2 linked regions of the Stegostoma tigrinum genome follow. The main gene of each other region encodes a partner of the protein of the gene in region 2 in a complex. Links are inferred from orthologs where the notes say so. Each region holds a gene or a part of one and is shown on either strand. Other genes may lie near its edges.

Region 1 (8,383 bases), on a different chromosome or scaffold from region 2:
ATTTGATCATTAGCTTTTACATGAGACAAAAAGTTATTGTACTTATTTTTAATTGATAATTTTATAAATATACAATTTGTGCTTGTAACAGTCCAAAAGATAGAAAACATAGTCTTTCAAAAAGATTCCACTATAATGCCGTGCTATTACAGTGAGAGAAAAAACATGATATGTATAGAATTTTATAGAAGGAAGCCATGTAGCCCACTGTGTCTGTCCTGGCAGCAAAATAAAGTTGCAAACAACTGGTTTACTAATTGGTATTTTACTTTGGATTCAGTCAGTATTATCAATTTAAAATGATTAACATGGTTTGACCTGCAGTTACAAGTTTCAGTAATATGTGTGTTGTATGACACACAGCAATTCGGTGGTTCTGGTACATCAAAAATGCTGGTTACCTATTGCAGTTTGTGATAATTAGTCGGTATCAAATAAAAATGTATTAACTTATACTGCAACCTGTTGTGGCTTCAAACATTTCAACTATTTGACTTCTTCGCTCCAAACACTGAAGTAAAAGTCCTTCAACTTGCAGCTGATTCTTTTACAATTATTTCTAACTGACATGGGTATTTTGTATAGCAACAGTGATACATGTGGTTAGGGCGGTATCAGATTCATTTGTTGGAACGTTCCAGTTGGAGAGGAGGCAGATATTAAAATTTTACTTTTTTTTGCAGATTGCCAAGAACCAAGGATTCCACAAGTTTTGATTCAGATATATTCAGACTGGATGCGTGGATTGTGCTTAGCTTTGAGGAAAAAAAAACAAAAACATTGCAAAATTTCAAATAACCAGATCCTGAAACGTTTTAAATGTACCTTAAGAATTTAAAAGAAATATATTTTGATAAATCAAACTATAAAATTATCAAGCAGGGCACTACTTTGATTTAAAACTTGTTTTGTTTTGAAAATGGGCGTCTGTGGCCAGGATAGATTTATTTATTTTTTTCCTTCTCTTTAAAGAACAAGAAATAAAAGGTTAAAGGTATGAGAATGGAGCTAGATTTTACTTTGCAGTTGAGTTTTATCATTAAGGTGTGTTTTAATTTTTAAAACTCAAGTTTGCCTAAATCTGGAAAAGTGTGTTTCTGATTGGGGAAAGGAGAAACCAATAAAAAAACTTTCACTACAATGTGTCAGTTGTCGTCATTTGCACTGGAGGGATTTTGATATTGATGCGTATGTTTTATTTATTAGGTTTTGGCTGTATAGTAGACTATTTAAATGGGGGAATGGAACTTCAGAGATGAAGAAGAATTATTTTATATAATGATAAAGTACTGTGGCTGTCATGAGATGCTAATAATACCTTGACATGTTTGTAATTTCCCATTGAAGCAGCAGTGGATTCCAGATAAGAACTCCAGGGCCCTGTCATTGTCATCAGTAGATCTATCACTGTCACACAAGTCAACTATTTCTCCACCCTCATTTGCAATTTGGTCTGTTTCCTCCAAGCTGAAAAGAAGTTTTCTATTAAAAAAATGTTAAAAATATTTCATGGCTGTGAACTGATATTGGGGTGCTTAAGTTCAGAACTAAGTGATGGGACTTGTCCACTGATAATGGGCAAGTGTCTGCTTTGTCACAGTGGTTAAACAAAATACTATGTAAATATAATGAATCTTCTGAATGGGGAAAAAATGTTACAAACAATGTGCATCTCCTGATGATTGTTTAGAAAACATAGACTGCTGGAGTCAGAAGAGAAGATTAATTTCAGTTTGGAGGAGAAAGTATAAGACAAGCAAATGTAATGAAAATATGTCAGTTTTTTTTAAATGATCATTTCTGCTTCTCTTGAAATAAAAGATTGTGATCAAACATGGTATAACACATGTATTTGCTACATTTTTTTTGTTTCCAAAGCCCCATCTGGCTGATGTCATAGGGAAAATCTGGAAACTCTTTGACACAGATCAAACACCAATACAGCAGCGAAAGCCAGCAACTTGAATTATTGACTGCACAGATATTAACCAGAATATCATTTTAAGGCAGATTTGGCACCAGTCATCCAAATCAGCCCAATTCCTTTGACTTTAGAATTTTAACTTTTACGGTATGAATAATTGTTAAGGAAAAAACACTGAAAATATACATATGCTAGTTCTAGCATAAAGACCAATTTTCTATAACATTCAAATCAACAATTATACTTTCTAGTTTGCAACTAGTTTTAAAAAAAGTCAAACTTTTGGCAATTTTTTGCATTGTGGAGCAAATTTCCTTTAGTGACAAACAGAGAAGACAAAGTTGTCAGAGCAAATTGCTCAAGAAATTCTAAGGTGATAAAATTATTAAAATTAATTATTTAAAAAAGCTTGTCTTGAAAATGTATTGTTTTAAGTTTGACTAAATGCTTACTGATTTTAAAAGAGGAACAATTGTTAAATCTATCTTCTCTCTGGATGTTACACTGCATCTCACTATTCCAGTACAAAGATGTAACCTGGTTTCATCATCCATGAGCATAACAAGTGCATTTCACATGATCTCTGGCATTTGTCCCATGCAAATTAGTTACTGTAACTAATGGTTTTTTTTAAATTATGTGTCATAAATAGCAAAGTTAACAGGATTGTAAGCCATATGTACAAATGAAAATTGACTGTAGGGGAAATTATGAAAATATGAACCATTGAGTCCTAATGGGTTGAAACTGTGACCTACTGCACAAATCTGAAAAGGAATGGTTCAAGTTTATGAAACTGATTCTTTTCTTCATTTAGAGAACAATTGTATACAGCCAGATCTGTAAATAGTAGAATTTCCAGCATTGGGGAAATGGTAGGAGAACACTTCAATCAAATCATAAAGACATCACAAATCCATTTAAACAAATGCCTACCTTTCAGGTTTGAGATCCAGAAGAATAAACTTGATTTTTCTTACTAGTATTTTCCCCCTTGGAGATATTCTTGCTGGAATGTTGTCTCAAAGCCAGTAGATGCCACCGGATGTTTCGTCCAAGTTCTCTATTGAGCGTTCAGTATATAAATTATTCAACATTATGTCAATGCCTAGTCCTGTCCAAGCCTGTTTTCACGTATGTGCTTTTTTACAGATGATGTCACTGGGTACCTCTCCCTTCTCTGAGAGGTTGTGATGCTGGTTGTGGTTACTAATAAAATCAATCCAACAAAGATTAGTGATTGAACCTGAGACCCTCATTGTCTAGTTGGTTCAGCCTTCCAAATCACTGTTGGTAGTTCTTTGAGTAACTTGGATGTGGAAGCTAACGTACACTGGGAATATGGGGAAAAATAGGCCATTCAACACCTTCAGCCAGTTTTGCTTTTCAAGTAGATCATAGCTGACTTGGTTACATTTGCAGATGGTAACAAACTGATTGTGGCAATTAAGGGAAGTAGGCAAAAGGCATACAACTGGTGTCGTTTACGATATCCCTTTGGAAGGTGTGAAAATAGCTAAAGGTTGAGGAAATTGAAAATAAATGAGGTAATGGCCAACTTAGTGAAGGAAAAATATAGTGCAGTATTTTATTGCCAAATAAAATTAGAAATTCAAGACTGTCACTTAAGTCCTGTATTAAGTTTGGCTCATATAGAAGAGAAACATTCCAGTCATGGAACACTGCAGAAAAGAGGCCTGAAGCTGATTCTCAGTGTGGAAGGTTTTTTTTCATATGTGGGACATGGGCATCATTAGCGGGCAACATTTATTACCTGGCCCCGTTGCTCTGGAGAAGGTGGTGGTGAATTGCTGCAGTCCATCTGCTGTTAGTTGACCCATAATGTCCTTAAGAAGGGAATTCTAGAATTATGACCCGGTGACAGTTAAATAACTGTTTTTTGGAATACCAGTTAAGAAAGAAGGTGACTGAGTAGGAACTGACAGAAGGTATTTAATATTTTACAGTAAAACCAGCTCATAATGTCAAGGGAAAAAGATACTTACAGCTGGGCAACATAAGGTAAAGTAACCATAGTCCCATTCTTTCATTAGAGAAAGATGTCTGTGGTGGTTTAATTTGAGGGGAAGGACGGAGAAGAGTGGACCTTGTCACATTAGATACTGTAGGAATTGAACACAAACTGTTGGCCTCAGTTTGTATTGCAAGCTAGCCATCCAGCTAGCTGAGCTAACCAACCCTGAAAAGGCACACATAATGGTATCAAGAGGAACTGCAAACTGCAGTGGTCACCCGTTGTAACTAATCTCAGTGTAAGGTTTGAAAGTGCACAATTGTTACAATTAAGAAGGAAAGTTCATTAAAGATTTCACAGAATAAAGTGCTGAAGAATTTTTTTAAATCTTGGATGGATTAACTCTGGTGTCCAGAGTACAACCTTGTGGGAGAATCTAGAACGAGGGCTCATAATTTTAAAATAAGGGGGTGCCCATTCAAAACAGATGAGGAAAATAAATTCCTCAGAATAAGTCTCAGGAATTCCCTTTCTCAAAAAGCAGTGGATGTAGAATCTTTAAAATGTTTTAAGACAGAGGTGGACAGATGGATATGTAGGAATATATGGTTGAGGTTCAAGTCAAATCAGCTCTGACGTTATTGAATGGCAGAGCAGGGTTGTGCAGTCTACTCTTCCTTGATGACATGTAACCCCTATCTGCTTATTTAGTGGAAAAATGATCAAGTCCCATTTATAAACTAACATTTTAAGGCTCTTTGTGAGACTTTATAGAGTGAAGTCTGAACACAAATTTTCCTATATATCGTACAGAGAGCACTGTGGAATACTACAGAATATAAAGATGTTATTTCCAAAAAAGCACCTGCCCCAGGCATGTTTTGATTATCTATATGATCCCTTAGAGACAGTTTAAACATCAGGCTCTGCAAAGATACGTCTCCTATCAGCACCTACTCTATCCCACTTTAACTATTACTCCAAAATTGCTCTCATTTTCCTGTCTAGTTAATTTAGAAATTAGCTTATATTTTGTTGGGTTTTTTTTTCAATTTTCTTTTCAAGTTCGGAATTTTTTTGTTTGAAAAAGAACTTATTAAATAAACCAAACATTGAGCAAGTGTCTGGGTGAAAGGTTGGAGTTGAGAGGGGAAAGTTCAAGGGAAGATGGCGTCGACCAAGCGGGTGCTGTATGTGGGTGAGTGAGGAAGGGCCACGGCCGCTCTTCAGATTCTTTCCACAGTCAAATAACATTCTCCATGGGGTACTTGTCCGAATTTACTCAGTGCGGTGGGTCTCTAGTGCAGCAACGGGGGAAATTCCAAACCCTGCACAATTTAACAAAAAAAAACTCATCTCTGCGAGCAAGATCGCCTGTAGGTTGCTTATCGTTTGCTTTTTTAAAATCTTACCATACTCCAAAAATGTTTTTTTTTCAGTTTATCGTTTTATAGTTTATCATTTTTCAGTCTGAGAATGATTCATTCAACAATCATGTAGAATTGTACAGAATACGGGCTGTTTTGATTACTGTGTCCTTTTAACATATTGATGAAAGACGAAGCATCATTCTGCCGTAATTACACATAATTTGCTGTCGTTGTTATAATGGTTATCCATTTATAACTATTTGTAACCTGAGACATGGTGCTATGATGACTAGTCCTTGGGCCAGTGATTTCAAAACTCTTCCACTGTGACTCAATTTCGAGGCTTGTAAACTGTCACCATTCTTCAAAGAGACCTTTGAGAGTTGTTGGGAGAAGTTAGATACCTGTGGGCATTGTTGCTTGTTAGATCTGGAGCACAGTCGTTTGGGATTACACAGCAGCAATTATAGCCTTGGAACTTGCAACCCCCTTCTGGCCTGATCCCTTTTGGGAAGCGCTGCCTTTAGATGATGGTCTTTATTTTAAGATCAGATTACTGTTGAACCTGCAATGTCATGTACTGACTTAATAGACTGTCTAGTCACATGAAGGAACTCCTGATTCAGTCATTGTGGCAACAGTTGGACCTTGTTTGATCTGTGGGTAGACTTTTTCATTCTTATTGTAATACATATCTATAAAAACACACTTGGAAATAAATCTACAGTGTGTTGTGCTTTTAAAAAAAAATTTGGATCTTTAATAGTTAGATGTCCCATAGCTCAGCCTAGAAGTGTGTAAACATATTTTGCTGTAGAATGGTGGAATGCGGGTTTGTGCCTCAAGTTGAATATTTAATCTCAGATGTGTCATGTGAAAAGAAGCATAATGGGAAATTAAGGTATCTCCATGATGGAAGGAACATTTGGAGACTGATTTTCCTTAATAATCATTCACAATTGCAGGTTAGATAGGTGCTTTACCATTAATTAGCAAATGGTTTTGAAAGGAAATTGGATCAACTTGAAGGAAATAAACTCGCCAGGCTGCAGGGGAGTGGGATTGACTGTTTTGCTCAAAGGAGAGCTAGCAGAAACTTAGATAGCAGCCGTAAATGACTCTGGCAATGGGACGGGCAAAAACTTCTGGTTGTATGACGTTCTACAACTACATCTGGACAAGAAGTAATGAAGTCTCCATTCAATAGAGGCCAAAAAGATGGCCAGTGGATTGCACTAAGTCTGTTCAAATCTGATCTCTTAAAGTTGCTGCAAATTAGAATTAACATTTATTATAGTATCATTTTATAAATCAAAGTTCTTTATATTTAAAAATCAAGGGCAGTCCATATGTAGCTTATTTCTTAAAAGGTTTCTTAATCAGTTGCTGAGCTCTTTGATAGACAAGTAGATGTGCTTTGTTCTAAACACAGTTTTTGTTTGGAAGGATCAATTTAATCCTTTTTTCATTTGCATTGTATGTTGTTCAGTTTATTTTTCAAGATTTCTTTTGGAGGAGATGAATACTATGGGCAACATACTATGTTGAAGCTTAAAAGGCCTGAAACACCAGCTTTCCTGCTCCTCTGATGCTGCTTGGCCTGTTGTGTTCATGCAGCTCTACACCTTGTTATCTCAGTTCTTTGTAATTTACAATGTGACTGAAAGTTTTAAAAACATGAGAAATTATCCTTTGACCACATTGTTTTAAAAAATATAGCATTTTAAATTCTTGTTGACTGAATGTTGAGCATTCAAATTCATTTAAAAATATCATCATAAGACATTTTTGTGTTATTGTTTATGTGATGATGTATCAGGCAATCACTCATTTCAGCACCAGTGGAGATTTGATACTGTTCCTTGTGTTGGGGCAAAATTTTTGAACATACATAATTGTGTGTTTCCAAGAAACACAGGAAAAAGCCAGGTATCTCCATCTTTTGGGTGCTATATGCTGCAATTAGGGAAGGAGGCCTTAATACTGGATAACATATTTTATATACTCTGTGTATAGTTTCACTTTATTAGTCTTGCCCTACTTAAAGTCAAGTATTTTATACTCTAAAACTAATAGTAAAATACTGGTGGATAAACTTGACTTCTATAAAAAGGAATTTTTGTGGACAGTGTGATTGAGAGAAGTCACAGGCAGTCAGAGAAGGATGGTTAAGGTGACTGAAGTTGCGGAGAATAAAGAATCATTCAATGCAAATCAATCCAAGTGAAATGCAAAGACTGTGAGGATGGAAGGGAGATGAGTTTGATAGAGAGGGTGAGATGAGTTTGATAGAGAGGATGTGGGTCCTGTTATGTTCTGTGGTTAAGGTATTTCTAGCTAAAGAAAAACACCTACAAAACTGCAAGATGCTTGTCATCAAATGAATGCAGCCAGTCAGACTTGTGATTGAATTAAGTAGGTTTTCCATTGTTTGAATTGTTTTTAATTCTGTTATGACATCTGGTGTAGCTGCCATTTGTTACCCATCCCTAATTGCCTTTCAGAAGGCTGTGGTGAGCTGACACCTTGAGTTGCTGCTATCCATAAGGTGTAGCTACACCCACAGTATCCGTTAGGGAGGGAGTTCCAAATTTTTTGGCTCAGTGACAAGGTATTTTGTGGTCAATGTTGTGGTGTTCTCACAGAAAATCTTGTTATATTTAATGTATATTTTGTGTTTATCACCTGTAGGTGGTCTTGCTGAAGAAGTAGATGAGAAAGTGCTTCATGCAGCTTTCATTCCATTTGGTGATATCATGGACATTCAAATTCCACTGGATTATGAAACTGGTAAATATTTCACTTAAAATTCCTCCAACGTATTGAACCAGATTCAGAATACTTGTAAACTGAGAAAAAATATTGAGTTTTTATGACATAAAAATCTCTCTCAAAATTTTTATGCTGAAAATTGTCTGTAAATATCTTCCTTTAAAAACGAAAGGTTGAGATTTAACACTTAAGAGTTGGTACCAAACCATACAGTGTGATGTTCCAGATACAGTGAAAGCTACTTCTCTGTAACAACAATTGAAGCTTAATGTTTCTATGTACGTAACTCCAAAACGTTGATTATGAAATAGCCAAAAATCTAAATTCTTTATTGACAACTTT
Region 2 (8,880 bases):
CCTGCTCCTGTGATGCTGCCTGGCCTGCTGTGTTCCTCCAGCTCCACACTGTGTTATCTCCAGCATCTGCAGTTTTTACCATCTCTGTAAAGCATAAATGCAAGTGGGTATGGTTGCTACTTAGTGAGTAGCCTGTCACTGCACATTCTACATGACAGCAAGGACAAAAGCATCTTCAAAAAATATTCGTCCCTGAGACCATTTACATCACTCAATAAAACATATACACCAATACCAGTACTTTAGCTAACGTACTTTGGGAACATATGTTGGCAACATAGTGGTAAGAGCATTGGTGTAGTAATCCAGAACCAAGTTAATACCCTGGGGACATGGGTTCAAAATCACCACAGTTGATGGTGAAATTTTGGTTCAGTGGTTAGCACTGCTGACTCACAACACCAGTAGCCCAGGTTTGATTCCACCGTCAGGTGACTGTCTGTGTGGAGTTTGCACATTCTCCCTGTGTCTGCGTGGGTTTCCTCCGGGTGCTCCGGTTTCCTCCCACAGTCCAAAGATGTGCAGGGTAGCCTAGATTAGGGGTGTCATATGCATGGGAAACGCAGGGTTACAGGGAAAGGGTACTGGGCTGGGCCCTGGTACAATGTTCTTTGGATGGTCACTGTGGGCTTGTGGGGCCAAAGGGCCTGTTTCCACGCTGAAGGGATTCTAATAAAGATAGAGAAAATTTGGATCAGAGCTAGATGAATTAGAAGATATAGAGCTTTATAATATTCTTTAATATACGAATAATAATTTGCATAATATCCCAGCTTTTGGCTCATTTTACAATACTATGCCTACAATATTTTAGAAAAACAGAGAGCCATTGAAACCAGTGCCAGACACCATTCAGTATCAATATTATTCTTCACTCTATCCATGGCATCCACTGGCGAGATCAGATTAGAAACCTCAAAATCTTACAGCAAACCCAATGGACAAATATTGAGGCGACGCTCCTGTCAGCCCAAGAGTATTGTAATTAGTGCATGTAATTAGAATGGTGGACCATCCCATTCCAAGGCAGTTACAGTATCACATGGTGAGTCAGAGTCATACAGCACGGAAACAGACCCTTCGGTCCAAATCATCCGTGCTGACAAGATATCCCAAACTTAACTATCGTCCCATTCTCCTGCATTTGGTCCATATCCTTCTAAACCTTTCCTATTCATGGATGTATCTAAATGTCTTTTAAATATGGTATTTGTACCCACCTCTTACCACTTCCTCTGACAACTCATTTCAATCATTCCAACCCTCTGTATGAAAAGGTTGCCCCACGGGTCCTTTTTAAATCTTTCACCTCTCACTTTAAACCTATGCCCCTCTAGTTTTGGACTCCCCTCCCCTGGGGAAAAGACCTTGACTATTCACACTATCCGTGCCTCTCATGATTTTGGAAACCTCTGTAAGGTCACCCTTCAGTCTCCAGTGCTTCATGGAAAATGTTCTAGCCTATCCAGCCTCTCCTTATAAATCGACCCTTCAGTCCTGCAACATCCTTGTAAATTTTTTTCTGCGCCCTTTCTAGTTTAACAACATCCTTCCTATAGCAGAATTGTATGTAGTATTTCCATTTGTGGCCTCACTAATGTCCTGACAGCTGCAATATGACTTCCCAACTCCTATACTCAATGCACTGACCAATGAAGGCAAGCATGCCAAATGCCTTCTTCACCACCCCATGTAACTGCAACGCGACTCTCAAGGAACTACAAACCTGCGCCCCAGGTTCCTCTGTTCAACAACATTCCACAGGCCCCTATCATCAACTGTTGGACATAAAATCCTACTCTGCTTTGCCTTACCAAAATAGAACACCTTGATTTAACTAAATTAATCTCCAGCTGCTACTTCTCGGCCAATTGGCCCATCTGATCAAGATCTCATTGTACTCTTAGGTAACCTTCTTCACTATCGACCACACCACCAACTTTAGTGTCATCTTCAAATTTAGTAACTATACCTCTTAAAATTTCATCCAAATCACAAATATAAACAACAAACAGTAGACTGAGAACCTATCTTGCACGCACTGCTGGTCACAAACATCCAGTCTGAACAACAACCCTCTACATCCACTTTCTGTCTCCTACCATCAAGTCAATTTTTGTATCCAATTGGCTAACGCTCTGTGGATCCCATGTGACTTAACCTTACTAAGCAGCCTACCACACAGAACCATGTCGAATACCTCGCTAAAGTCAATGTAGACAACATCTACCGCTCTGCCTTCATCTATCTTCTTCGTGACCTCTTCAAATAACTCCATCAAGTTTGTGAGACACATTTTCTCAGGTTAACGGTCCCCTCCAGTTCAGGTTCAGCCCAGCCCTCTTGAAAAGGTCACTTCTGCCCCAGAAGAGATCCCAATCATCCAAAAATCTGAATCTCTGCCTCCTGCACCAGCTCCTCAGCCACCCAATCATCTGCCCTATCTTCCTATTCCTACTGTCACCAGCATTTGGCACCAGGAGTAATTCAGTGATTACTACCCTTGAGCTCCTGCTTTTTAACCTCCTGCCTAACTCCCTGTGTTCTCCCTGTAAAACCTCATCCCTTCCTCAACCTATGTCAATGGTACCTGTGTGTTTAATGTCTTCCGTCTGTTCACTCGCCCTTTATGAATTTTGCTGTGCCTTCTCCAACACGTCCTTGCCTCTGGCACTAACCCAAGAAAGGGTCAATGCCCTTAGATGCTGATAATAAATAAGTAAATAAAGTCATCTTTGGCTTTTAGAGTCATTGAGATGTACAGCATGGAAACAGACCCTTTGGTCCAACTCGCCCATGCCGACCAGCAATCCTAAATTAATCTAGTCCCATTTGCCAGCATTTAGCTCATATCCCTTTAAACTCTTTCTATTCACGTACCCCCATCCAAATGCCTTTTAAATGTTGCAATTGTACCAGCCTCCATCACCTCTTTTGGCAACTCATTCCGTACTGAATGAGTATGGAATGAGCTACCAATTCCAGCAGCTCATTCCATACTCATTCAGTATGGAATGAGCTGCCAAAAGAGCTCATTTAAAAGTGCAAGGTGTACTTTTAAATCTTTCACCTCTCACCTTAAACCTAAGCTGTCTAGTTTTGGACTTTCTACCCTGGGGAGAAGTCCTCGGCTATTCACTTTATCCATACCCTTCATGATTTTATCAAACTCTGTATAAGGTCACCCCTCAGTTTCTGACACTCCAAGGAAAATAGCCCCAGCCCATTCAACTCTCCCTGAAGCTCAAAACCTCCAACCCTGGCAACATCCTCCAGTTCTTTCAGTTTTTAAAATTTTAAAAAATCTTCTCTTTCAAGTTTCACATCCATCCTACAGCAGGGAGACCAAGATTGAATGCAGTGTTCCAAAAGTGGCCTAACCAATGTCCTGTGCAGCTGCAATATGACATCCCAAGTCATATATTCAATGCACCGACCAATGAAGGCAAGCATTCCAAACCTCATCACCGTTTTCATAGACATCTCAATATATGTCAGCAACGAATCTCACATTTGTTGCTTTGTTCTGGTCATTTTCTATATTAACCAGCTCAGTGATGTTTTACACACTCTGGAGCAGGAAGGGCTTGAATCTAGGCCTCCTGTATCAGGGGTAGGGATTTTACCACTGCACCACATAGACTTGCTCTAGATTGTTACCCCATAAGCAACCTATTCAGATGTGAAACCTCTTATTAAAACCTCCAGGGCAAGGTGGGTGTTGAACGCAGGTCTCCTGGCTGAAAGGAAAAGGCACTACTGCTGTACCACATGGCCACATGTCAGGTTCTTGTTCTAACCCAGAGGACTAATACAATTAATGCAATTTGTCGAACATTGTGTGTAAACCAGTTACAGTCTCCTATTTACCGTCATACCCAACAAAAACACAGTTGCTGGAAAAGCTCAGCAGGTCTGGTAGCATCTGTGAAGGAAAAAACAGAGTAACGTTTAGGGTCCAGTGACCCTTCCTCAGAACTGAGGGTGGCTGGGAAAACGTCAGTTTATATGCAGAAAATAGAGAGTGGGGTGGGGAGTAAACAATAGGATTGAGCCCAAAGAGAGAGAAAGACAGTTGGACAGACAAAGGAGTTGATTACAATCTGGCTGGGAGGGTGAATAGTTACTGACTACTAACAGGAAGTTATAACATGGCAGGCTATGTGGTAACAAGAGATAGTAGGAACTGCTGATGCTGGAGAATCTGAGATAACAAGGTACAGAACTGGATGAACACGGCAGGCCAAGCAGCATCAGAGGAGCAGGAAAACTGATGCTTCGTGTCGAGCCTCTTCTTCAGAAATGGGGAAAGGTAAGGGGATTCTGAAATAAATAGGGAGGGAGGGGGAGGCGGATAGAAGATGGATAAAAGAGAAGATAGGGTGAGAGGAGATAGACAGGTCAAAGAGGCAGGGATGGAGCCAGTAAAGATGAATGTAGGTGGGGAATCAGGGAGGGGATAGTTTGATCCAGGGAGGACGGACAGGTCAAAGAGGCGGCATGAGGTTGGTGGGTAGGGGATGGGAGTGGGGGTTTGAGGTGGGAGGAGGGGATGGGTGAGAGGAAGAACAGGTTAGGGAGGCAGGGACAAGTTTGGCTGGTTTTGGGATGCAGTGGGGGGGGGGGGGGGGTGAGATTTTGAAGCTTGTGAAGTCCACATTGATACCATTGGGCTGCAGGGTTCCCAAGCGGAAATGAGTTGCTGTTCCTGCAGCTTTCGGGTGGCATCTTTTTGGCACTGCAGGAGGCGCAGGATGGACATGTCATCTGCGGAATGGGAGGAGGCATTGAAATGGTTTGCGACTGGGAGGTGCAGTGGATTGTTGCGAACTGAGCGGAGGTGTTCTGCAAAGCGGTCTCCAAGCCTCTGCTTGGTTTCCCCAATGTAGAGGAGGCCACACCAGGTACAGCAGATGCAGTATACCACATTGGCAGATGTGCAGGTGAACAAGTGTGTGGTAACAAGGCTTGGTATGTGGGGTTGGGAAGCTGGGATATAGGACAGTTTAGGCCCTAAAATTATTGACCTGCTGAGCTTTTCCAACCACCTCTGCTTTTGTTCCAGATTTATAGCATCCCCAATCCTTTCAGTTTTTACCATCAGACCCAATAGGGGCGGTATCAACTGACAAGTCCAATCACTATCCGTGTTTCCGTGTCAATCAGTTTGTCTTGTCCAATAGAAATCGGAATATGCGTCGTCGCCCCGCGGAAATGATCCAATCAGAAACGGATTCTGCCGTGTCCAATCAACTGCCGAAACCGGTGGTATTAACAGCCCAACGTGCAGGCATCGTGAACTTATTGGTCTATATGCCTGTCGATCGACAATGTTATCCAACCACCTGCCGCTATGGGCGGGATGTTGATGACGTTCGGCATGTCCACCAATCAGAGTGGCGATAGGGTTTGCTCCCTGGGCCTTAGGTTGGGTTCGACGCCTTTTCGAAGCCTCGGCGTAGGCTGCGGCCGCGGGGCAAAATGAGCGTTTTTTTACAGAAACACGATGTTATTTTTGTAAGTGAATCGTATAACTCCGAGATGACAGCTCCGAATTCAACATTCCTTGTTCGCTGAGCTGGTCTTTGAGGGTAGGCCTCAGCTGAAGCCTCGGCCTCGATTTATTTTGTTGGTCTCCCACGGCATTAACGGCTTCTTTATCACTTCCCCTTCAGGAACCGTATGGTCCTACTTTTTCTCTCTTTTCTATGTTTTGACTTAATAAGTAAAGTCGCAGAGCAGCTGCCCCAGTTTTGTCAACCACATTGATTTCAGAGTCCCAAGTGAAAGTGAGCTTCTTTACACTGTCTCTGTGTTGCTGCTCAGTAGTTGTTGGAGCTGACAGGCAGTCATATTGCTACTGGCTGATCGGAGGTAATTTGTTCGCCCTCGAGAGAGCCGGCATGTGAAAGGAAGAATTTGAATTTATATAGTGCCTTTTTTCAGCCTCAAAATCCCTACAGTGTAGAAGCAGGCCTTTCAGCCCTCGCTGACCTTCCGGAGAGCATCCCATCCAGATACCACTCACTCATCACCACCTCCCCAGCCTCATTTTCCATGGTTAACCCACTTAGCCTGCACAACCCTGAACACTATGGGCAATGTAGTATGGCCAGTATACCCTAACCTGGACGTCTTTGGACTGTGGGAGGAAACCCACATAGACACAGGGAGAATGTGAAAACTCTACACAGACAATTGCTTGGGGGTGGAATCAAGCCCATGGAAGGGCCTAGGCCCGAAGCGTCAGCTTTCCGGCACCGATGCTGCTGCTGCTTGGCCTGCTGTATTCATCCAGCTCTACACCTTGTTATCCCATGTCACTGGCACTGTGAGGCAGCAGTGCTAACCACTGAGCCAGCCTACCAACATCTCATCCGCACTCCATGACCAATGATGTGCTTCACTCGTGTCAGATATGAAATACAGCAGCTATATGTTCTACAGCAAGCTCCCACAGATAGCAGTGTAATTATGAGCAGATCATTATGTCATGTTAGCTGACTAGGACACTGGGGAGAGATACCAGTGCTCAGAAATAGCACCATGGGATCTTTCACATTCACCTGCTAGAGCTGACAGAGCCTCAGTTTATGAATATATGAAATAGAAGCAGGAATAGGTCATTTAAATCCTCAACCTGTATGGAACGAGCTGTCAGAGGAAATGATAGAGGCGGGTACAATTACAACATTTAAAAGACGTTTGAACAGGTACATTGAAAGGAAAGGATTAGAGGTATAAGGTTTAAACGCAGTCAAATGGGGCTAGTTCAGTTTAGGACACCTGGTTGGCATGAACGCGTTGGACCAAAGGGTCTGTTTCCATGCTGTATGACTCTCTTTAAGTCTGCTCAACCATTCAGAAAGGTAATGGCAATACCAACTCCTGCTGACCCACCAGTGACCTTTTGACCTTGTGTGAACAGTGGTGGCACTGACAGCACAGCCCTCCTTCGGGACTCAGCTGGGAGCATCAGCCTTGAATATTGTGCTGAAATCCTAGACTGGGATTTGAACTCAAATGACGTGTAATCAACAATAGCTTCAGTAAGTAATACATTTGAAGGAAGCATTTTGCGACTGACAGATGATTCTTTTCCATAGTTTACACTTCAGTTCTTTAGATTGCAGTACTCAGCTTCAAGAAGATACTTCTCAAAAACTATATTTGCACTGAATGCTGAAAATTGGCCTACAAATCTTTAATTCTGTAAACCTAACTTGTCGACTTAAAAATGATTGTCAGCAGATACGACAGTTGTGGAAAAGAAACCTGAGATTTGATACCAGTTAAGTACCTTACTGCATTGGTAAACATTGTATAAACAGGGCAGCCCCAGCAAAAGATTGTCTTCAACTATCCTTTGTCAAATGTTTACAAAATTGCTGTTTGTTGCTCAAGTCAAATACTTCAGTCTTGCTGTTCGTGTTCCCAAAATACATTTGGAGTGTCAGGATTGTAAATTCTTGATATGCCATTTGGTTACAGCTTGGGCTTGGCTGTTACAAGTAACACCAAGCTGAACACAAATTGCTGCGTGAACTAATTGTATAATTCCAAGTTAAATGCTAAGTACAAAAACATTTTCTTTCTTCAGAAGTGCGTTAGAAAGTTCACAAAGAAGTTTCGAAGAACTTTTTGTAATAGATAAATTGATAGTGACAGATCAGTTTTACTTTATCAAGTTGCTGTTTGTGTTGTCAAAGGTGACATTTTACATGCTGTCAGTGCCACATTTTCCCCGAGAGTCTGATAGCTGGTGACTTGCGTGCATCCCCTGGGCTTCATTCTGTCCACTTGTTTGAATCTCTTTGACAGGAAGATGATGATCTGCCATATGAAGAAGAGATCATTCGCAATCCTTACTCTGTTAAATGCTGGATCCGCTACATAGAGTTTAAGCAGTCTGCACCCATACATGTGGTGAACATGATTTACGAGAGAGCGCTTAAAGAACTTCCTGGCAGGTATTGTTTCTTAGTGGAAGCAACAAGGTCTAGTGATTACATGGGGGCATTAGAGACTTTTGAGATCAACACCTGACAGAAGCTGAGATAACAAGGTGTAAAGCTGGATGAACACAGCAGGCCAAGCAGCATCAGAGGAGCAGGAAGGCTGATGTTTTGGGCCTAGACAAATGTCAGCCTTCCTGTTCCCCAGATGCTGCTTGGCCTGCTGTGTTCATCCAGCTTTACACCTTGTTATCTCAGATTCTCCAGCATCTGCAGTTCCTACTATCACTAACAGAAGCTAATGGTTTGTTCAAAAGATCAAAGATTAAGCATAGATCAAATTTTGTATCTTGTCTGCATCAATCACACAGTTTATGCAAAAGAATTTTGCCTTGTGATGTGTCAGTTGCTGGTGTTTTTAATAATCCTTGATAGCAGTGGTTTACATGTAACTGGAATTAACAGCTTTCGCCCACTTGGAGCTTTTGCTTCAGAGGTGTACGGTCAGCTCACTTAGTGAAGCACTTTAATGATGTGCATCTGAGGAAAACTAAATATATCAATTTTAAATTACAACAAGTTGCGTGGAGTGTAAAAGCACAGAAGCAGGCTATTCGGTTTATCAGGTCAATGGTGGTGTTTCTGCTGCTGTGTAGAAAACTCGTTCCGCAACAGAGCTTGATCAATGTGATGTCTATTCCTTTATCCAGCTTCTCCCTAAAGGTGTTGATTGTTTTCACCTCAGCTCTTCTCTGTGGCAGCAAGTTCCATATTCTGCCGAGTTTTTTGGTATTGGAGTTTCTCCTGTATTAGTCAATGGATTGATAGGTGATTGTTTCATATTTATGACCCCTAGTTTTAGACAGCTACAAGCCCTCACATGCACAATGTGGGAACTTCCTTTTCTATGTTGGCCTTATTATTG

Evidence for each region.
Region 1: xab2 (region 2) and ppie share a complex: the UniProt entries of both Homo sapiens proteins name them as parts of the XAB2 complex. The link is inferred for Stegostoma tigrinum from reciprocal best matches to the Homo sapiens genes XAB2 and PPIE.

The regions. Positions count from the first base shown.
Region 1 is NC_081377.1:33,673,639-33,682,021, forward strand, and holds the start of ppie (peptidyl-prolyl cis-trans isomerase E), read left to right. Parts: upstream 1-5,053; 5' UTR 5,054-5,066; coding exon 5,067-5,097; intron 5,098-7,960; coding exon 7,961-8,059; intron 8,060-8,383. UniProt on the Homo sapiens protein: Involved in pre-mRNA splicing as component of the spliceosome. Combines RNA-binding and PPIase activities.
Region 2 is NC_081388.1:13,419,986-13,428,865, reverse strand, and holds the start of xab2 (pre-mRNA-splicing factor SYF1), read left to right. Parts: upstream 1-5,402; 5' UTR 5,403-5,481; coding exon 5,482-5,517; exon of another isoform or gene 5,518-5,591; intron 5,592-6,790; exon of another isoform or gene 6,791-7,049; intron 7,050-7,821; coding exon 7,822-7,970; intron 7,971-8,880. UniProt on the Homo sapiens protein: Involved in pre-mRNA splicing as component of the spliceosome. Involved in transcription-coupled repair (TCR), transcription and pre-mRNA splicing.